2 linked regions of the Nothobranchius furzeri genome follow. The protein of the gene in region 2 purifies or fractionates together with the protein of the main gene of each other region. This does not show direct contact. Links are inferred from orthologs where the notes say so. Each region holds a gene or a part of one and is shown on either strand. Other genes may lie near its edges.

Region 1 (2,934 bases), on a different chromosome or scaffold from region 2:
CTGTCTTTATATTTCTTGTTCTTTCTGTCATTCCATGCTGCTCTCTGACAGTCCGATGGTCATTTAACCACTGGAGGAAACAACTGTGTTACATTACTGAAATGCTCGGATGTAGAATTTGCTCGTTTATAAAATTTCTATCCTCAGACATGTTAAAAGTACATTTGCAGTTTCTGTCCACCTAACATAACATTAGGGACACTGTCTAGTGTTAGACTTTTCACAATTATAACTGTATCTCTGTCATTTCATTCATCAATAGAACAAACTGAAGGTGGCAAAACATTTTAAACAGGGAAAACTCATTATCTCAGTATTTCATTAACGTTATGAGATTTGTGAGAAATGTCAATTTCTTCTCTGGTTTCTATCTGAAAGCACTAATTGAATCCCTGATATCATAAAAACAACAATTGAATTATTTTCTCACAATAATTACTCTGTTGTAATGTACCTCTTCAAATGCCTTAGGTAACTGTGAGGTTTTGTTTATCATATTTTTCTCATTTTGCTCCTGCCATGAATGTAATTGCTAGGCTGGCATGCCATTCTAGATATGTACATATATTCCTTTAACCCAAATTTCTCCACTGTGGATAAAGGGATTTTCTATTTTTCTATCGGAACTAGATTAAATGAAAAATCTGATTTGGTTAAATTATGGTGTGAATTAACAAGTACTTTTAATAGATTATTTTTGTTCCCCATCTACAAGTGAAAAAGAACTCCACAAAAATAGAAACTTTTTATCCAATTGATCACTTCCACTTTTATCAAACCAAAACATTTACATGTCTCATTTTATTAAGCAAAAGCAAACAACAACAAATTGAGTAGTCCATGAGAGGAAAGTCAAAGATCTGAGGGTTATTTTTGCGTGATGGGGAATGAATTCTGGTCCATTAACTCCCCAACTCTCTCCTGAAGAGTCTGGACCACCTCTGCCAGGATAAAAACGTGTGTGTCGTCAAGATCCTTGATGATGAACTTCTTTCCTAAAGCCATGGTTTCATCTAGGTAGAGGAGAAACTGTTTCATAGCAGGATCACTGAAACAGAACATGGAGAGGAAAAAGACATTATAATTGTAGGAGTTTTCTACAGAAGAAAGTAATTTTACAGTTTTCTTCACTCTGAAGTTCCTTACCATTCAACAAGAACACCCTTGTGAACATTCACCATGATGACAGGTGTAGTTGATTAAAGTCTGCAAAATAAACAAAACGTGCAAAAATGTTGCGACAGTAACATAAATACTGTATGCATATACAACACATATTCATACCGGACAGTTAATGTACAGAGAAAATTCATGAGAAATAGTAAACAAGCTAAAAATAACAAGCTAACAACGTATTTTGCAACACTTTTAAGCAAAACGTTCTAATTAAAACTTACCACAACAACCACAATGTTCGGGAGAACACTAAAGTTGGTAAGAAATCGTGTAAAACTACTCGTTCAGACCCAACAGCAGCTGCTTTTTAAGCTAAGTTCCGTAGCATTGAGGTAAGATCTACGGCGAGCAACCAGGGACAATCTTCCTCTACCACTATAGCATTGAAGGATGCGCATTTTTGCCACTTCCGTTTAACATGTTCTTCCACGCTATCTGGTACATTTCACGTAATTATCTGCTTATATTATAACGATTTCACTGTGATTTTTGAAAAATTGTTATTAAAAATATTTGACGCTCCTGTGCTTTACTCCCAGCCCAATTCCACCAAGTGATCTATAATGCAAGATTTCTGAACAAACGTGTACGTGTATGTACATGCATACATACATATGTATACATGCGTACGTATGCATGTGTGTGTGAGTATTGCACATGTACATTTGTTTTTAACTATTTTGCAATGGATGCTTGTTAAATTACTTTTTGTCAGATTAAGTTAGAAAATAAACACCAAACGATTTCCATTTAACAATTCTGTTGTATTCAGTATTTTAATACATCATTTAATGAATGCATAGACAAGTCAAACTCAACAAATGTACTCATTCATTTGATTTATTCTCATTTCTAGTATATGTTGGCCCATTGTGATGCATAATTAATGTAATAAAATTAATAGAGTTGACCTAATATATTAAATCAGGGCCATTTTAAAAAAGGCTTGGCAAATAATCCATTTGGCACAAAAAACAACACGTTTCAGTAGAATGAATGAATACAAAAATAACATTTCAACCATTACTCTGATCAAAACTACATAGAAGCAGTTTTTAAAAATGCATCTTTAAGTAAATATATATTTGTTGTGGCTGCAAGGTCTAAAATGGAAAGATGGTGGTACTTCTCATAATATGAGTTTACTCGAAACATGACTTTGACCGGTAAAAATGAAAACATAAGGGAGGAAAATGTAAAAAGATAACAAATCAGAGGTTCGGGTTTATCTATCACAGTTAGTAAGTGTGTGAAATAAATGTGTCTGCATTATGATTGTTAACATCTCACATTATGGTTGTAAACGTGTACAAAAAGAGGTTTGGGGTTTTGAGTTTGTTGGTGGAAGGACTCAGTGTTCCTCAAACTTCAAGTAAACAATTTAATGTCACTACTGATGTGCTTGTATGTCTTTTATTGGCTTGTGTATCTCTGGAGTGCTTCCTGGATGAACTGGAGGCTGCGTCTGTAGAGAAACGAGTCCTTCTTCTCTGGTTTGCAGATGTTCAGGTGATCCACATCCACCTGAATGAGCTCTCCGATGCCCAGATCTGGAACAAAACGAGAGATTACTCAAAAAGAGAAGGTAAGAAACTGGATGACAGATTTTTATTATTTTATCAAAAGTATAGCTCATTGACTTTTCCCCACTGTATCTTACATACCTGCTGACTGAGTTGGGACCACAAATATCTTAATCATAGGACCAATATTTGTGGGCAACGTCTCTGCAAAGCTCAGCACTTTGATTTCATTTTC
Region 2 (4,325 bases):
ACTATCAGGACAGACCTAAAAGAACAGCATTGCTTTACTATGTGAAGTGAGGTTTAAGTACCCGAAGTAACAACTCAGCCAAGATGCAGCCCACAGCCCACATGTCAACACCCACTCCATACATCTTGGCACCAAACAGGAGTTCAGGGGAGCGGTACCACCTAAAAAAACGATGACAGAAAACATACAGAGTTAAATGTTTGATCTTTAGTGTAGAGGTGAGAAATTCTATTTTGTAAAATTAGATTAAAGCCAACAAAACGATCGTTGTCATTACTGCAGCGGCTCTGACCTGGTAACAACTTGATGAGTGTAGATTCTGTTGGGGCTTCCAAAAGCTTTGGCCAATCCAAAATCAGCCAACTTCAACACTCCGTTACTGTCTAGCAGCAGATTGTTGGGCTTCAAATCCTGAACGTATAAAGGAAAAAAGAAGCAATAATTCTAAATAATAAATCACCTCTGTGCATTTGCAGAATACGACAGAGTGGTGTTTAGGTGCTCGTACCCTATGTAGGACCCAATGTTGGTGCATGTACTCTAATCCTTGTAATGTCATGAGGATGTAGGCTTTAATATTGGCTGGAGTCAAGACTAGGCTTGTGTCTTTGATGATAACCTGAAAAAATAAAACGCACACAAAAAAATCTAAGCAAAACAACAAAAAATATGCTTATCTGACCCACACAAGGAAGCTTTAGAGAACTGAGATCAGACCAAACAGCTTCACTTTAACTACTCGACAAATCCCCAAAATGTCCGTAAAACTAAACATCTGTAGCTGATAGTTTAAACATTAACTGACTGAACCTAAAAATGTTTACAACATTATTGAAAAAGAATAGCCTCATAATTCACACATGCCTCCCCTAACTGCTGCCTGCCAGCTGCTAATGGCATAAATGTATTTGAGCCAAGAAGAGAGTGATATTGATTATTTGGAAGCACTTTTGTCTTTTTATTGCATCAGTAAAGTCTAATGTGTCTGAGGTGTGCGTCCGTCTGGAGTCTTGCACGTTAAAACGGAATGAAAAAGGAGAATGGGAGCATGAAAGAATAATTTTACTTTCATTTTAGTTGCTCCTTTTGTAAAGACATTTGATCTTGCAGCACACATCCTTATGTTACACGTTTCTCCCTAAACAAAACCTTAAACATCACAAATGTTCTTTATTTAATTCCAAAATTAAAAAGTCATTGAGGGAATGATTACTAGTGGTCCACAAATGCAAAAAAAAAAAAAAAAAAAAAAAAAAGAAGAAGAACGAATTTAACCCGACACAACACATGTATATACAATTTTATAATACCATGATTATTGTCTTTTTAATCAAAATTAGACCACAATTCTGTAAAGAAGTCACTTTCATTACTTACTCATTTGTATAAAAAAGTGCAATCATAACCACCTTTTCACCAAAATCCTGGGGAATGTTTAACTGAATCAATTTTTAAAGACTTTTTTGTTCTTTAAACCCTCAACCAAAAATTAAGCCTTAAATGGGAGAGCTATTTTACACGCTGATTGCTTATGATACTTGGATATACAGAACTAAAGTTAATTTAACCCTAACCCGACTTAGTGAAGACCATTTAATAGTACTTAAATTACAGGGGAAAAAAATCTAGTGCAAATATAAAAACAAGCTGTATGAATGTTCTATTACAGTGGTTCCCAACCTTCTTTCCATGGGGACCCACTTGCCTGTATCCAAGATGAGCCAGAACCCCCAACCACAACTTCTTCCAGCATCCACACATTAAAAATGATTAATTAAAAACTTTACACAGACATACAGATATTTGATTATACATTTGGGTGTGTCATTTGGATTTTAGAAATGTAATTCTTACAAAAACTACCTTGGTATTCTCACAACCTGAGCACAGACACATTTGTGGGGACCTCCAGCAATCCTGAGCAGGCCCCCATGGGGGGTCCCAGACCCTAGGTTGGAAACCACTGTTCTATTATATTAATGCGGAACTTCATCATATTCAGAAGTAATAATATCAGAGGGATAATTGTGCATATAATCAAAAACAGGAGGCAACTCACCTCCAGGTCTGTTTCCATAAAATCAAACACCAGGCTGATGTTTGATTTATGTCCAAATGCATCCAACAGCTACAACACATAGCACAGTAAATAACCAACACTGCATTTAAAAGAAACAAATTAATAACACGAGAATACCAAGATGCCTGATCAAACACACAGTGCCTCTTAAACGTTCAGACACACATCTACCCAAATTAAATAATTAGGTTGATTTTTCCAGATGTTTTACTGGAAATGTAGAGGACATAAATGCATGAACATAGTTTGAGTACCCCAATGATATTTGGATGATGCAGCTCCTGTAGCAGTTTGATTTCCCTGAGAGCAGTCCGATTTACACCTGCAAGAAAAGAACATTTATTTTCAATAAGATACAGCACGAGTGTTTGGTATGTGTGGGGCACAGGTGTGACTATGACTTACCATCTTTAGCTTCAGTTTTGTGACCAACTTTTATCTGAAAACAAGCAGATAATCAAATTTAACCCCGAACACCACAGTGTCCGATTAAAGCAGAAACTTCACTTTTTTTGTACCTTTTTGATGGCAACTATTGTGTCTGTCAGTTTGTCTCTGGCTTTGTAGACTGTGGCAAACTGAAGAGATGAAAGAAAGGTTATTAAAGGAGAGCATACAACGCGCTGAATGCTTTTAGAGCTAGTGTGATCACACCGAAGCTGCTGGGGCTTTGTTGACATTAGCTACCAGCTAACGCTTGTTATCAAGTTACTGAAAACGTTAAACAACAAAGCAAAAATAATAAAAGTGAGCGAAACGAAGAGTAGATATCGAAAACTTTGAAATAATTCTCTGCCTACCTGACCCTCTCCGAGAAAATCCAGTTTCTCGTATCGTTTCGCTCTGATTTTTACATCAAGCGCCATGGTAGCTAGCAGTAAGCTATCTTTTGGTCTGGTTAAAGGGCCAGAAAACTTCTTCCGGGGCAAAGGTGTCAGGCTTTAAAACTGAGCAACTGCGCCATCTACTGGTCAGGCTAAAACAATTTAATGTCAAAAGATGTGCAATTTTTTGGTTGAAAGAACACGTTCAGAATGATTTAAAATATAAACAGTTATTTAATACAAACTATGTAGGAATTGTTGTGACTTGTTCAGTCCCAATTAATGTCACCTAACTAAAAATCAAAATGTATTTCACCCTTTATTTAATCTTTTATTATTTTAAAATAAAGGATGAAATACATGTTTCTGATTTAGAGGAAAGACAACACAAATCTCATGGCAATTTGCCATTTTCCATTTGTTTTTTTTCATCCACCAGTTTTGACACTGGTCTCCTGGGAGCCTGTTCTGTCAGTTAGGAAGTTTTTGTGATCCATGCACCACTGAGCACATCTCTACATCCCATCACCATTCACTGTAAGATACCATAACATCCCACAGGATTAGGCACGGCTCCTTTGACCTTACTTGTCTTCTGTCTCAAATGCCCAAATTCTCACCCGTCAACACACACACACATTCAGAACACTCACCACTGACTTTCATTTTAATGTTAAGTTTGACAAGAGGAGTGTGAAGGATCAGCATGCCTAATACACCCCTCACCCCCCTCAGATGTATGCACATTCATGGTCTGACAGCTCACAGATGTGACTGACAGTATGTGGCTGTGCAGCAGAGAAGAGAGCAGTCTAGCCACACTTCAGTCCTTGCTGCCATCACATCATCAACTTTTCAGGACACAAATGCTGGCTTTGGTGTAGAAGAACTCTTATGGGTCTTGTATGAACCATTGTTTATTGCTCTGTCAAATACTTAGAATAACTGTTAAAAATTCAGCTTATTGTTTGTATCTGACCTTGCATAATGTGCAGTTTGTGCTAAATATCTAAGAAAACGGACAAGTGGAGGTCAAAAACAGAAACAATCCTGTCTTTAAAGACTGAGTCAAATCCAGCAAAGTCTTGACTGAGATGTAGATGATCCTACTGTTGATCATTGACTGCGTGTCAGGTTGGGACCACAAGCTTTTCCAGAATCACCTTGTTGGGATTAAAATTCTGATTTAATTAACAGATCAATACATTTAACAGGAAATTAATCAAACTTTGTGTTTTTGGACAGTCTGCTGGTATCTAAGAGTCTAAAGATGAAATTTTAGGGATGTTTGATATCACTTTTTCTGCCAATATCTGATAAAACGTAAGTCAGCTTCTTAATTTCCAATAACAATTTAAACCACACCAATAAACGCAATTAAACGTGTAACAAACTCTTTCTTTTGTGTTTTTTATGAGTCG

Evidence for each region.
Region 1: the proteins of cdk7 (region 2) and gtf2h5 purify together in Homo sapiens (affinity purification with mass spectrometry; 7 studies listed by BioGRID and IntAct, with this or other methods). This does not show direct contact. The link is inferred for Nothobranchius furzeri from reciprocal best matches to the Homo sapiens genes CDK7 and GTF2H5.

What each region holds. Positions count from the first base shown.
Region 1 is NC_091742.1:2,693,469-2,696,402, forward strand, and holds gtf2h5 (general transcription factor IIH subunit 5), read right to left. Parts: upstream 1,538-2,934; 5' UTR 1,398-1,537; intron 1,207-1,397; 5' UTR 1,182-1,206; coding exon 1,147-1,181; intron 1,049-1,146; coding exon 868-1,048; 3' UTR 733-867; downstream 1-732. Other genes in the region: protein SERAC1, read right to left, coding at 2,590-2,726, 2,841-2,934. UniProt on the Homo sapiens protein: Component of the general transcription and DNA repair factor IIH (TFIIH) core complex, which is involved in general and transcription-coupled nucleotide excision repair (NER) of damaged DNA and, when complexed to CAK, in RNA transcription by RNA polymerase II.
Region 2 is NC_091757.1:44,652,691-44,657,015, forward strand, and holds the start of cdk7 (cyclin-dependent kinase 7), read right to left. Parts: upstream 2,998-4,325; 5' UTR 2,947-2,997; coding exon 2,881-2,946; intron 2,659-2,880; coding exon 2,599-2,658; intron 2,520-2,598; coding exon 2,486-2,519; intron 2,403-2,485; coding exon 2,335-2,402; intron 2,129-2,334; coding exon 2,060-2,128; intron 620-2,059; coding exon 509-619; intron 412-508; coding exon 293-411; intron 162-292; coding exon 62-161; intron 1-61. UniProt on the Homo sapiens protein: Serine/threonine kinase involved in cell cycle control and in RNA polymerase II-mediated RNA transcription. Cyclin-dependent kinases (CDKs) are activated by the binding to a cyclin and mediate the progression through the cell cycle.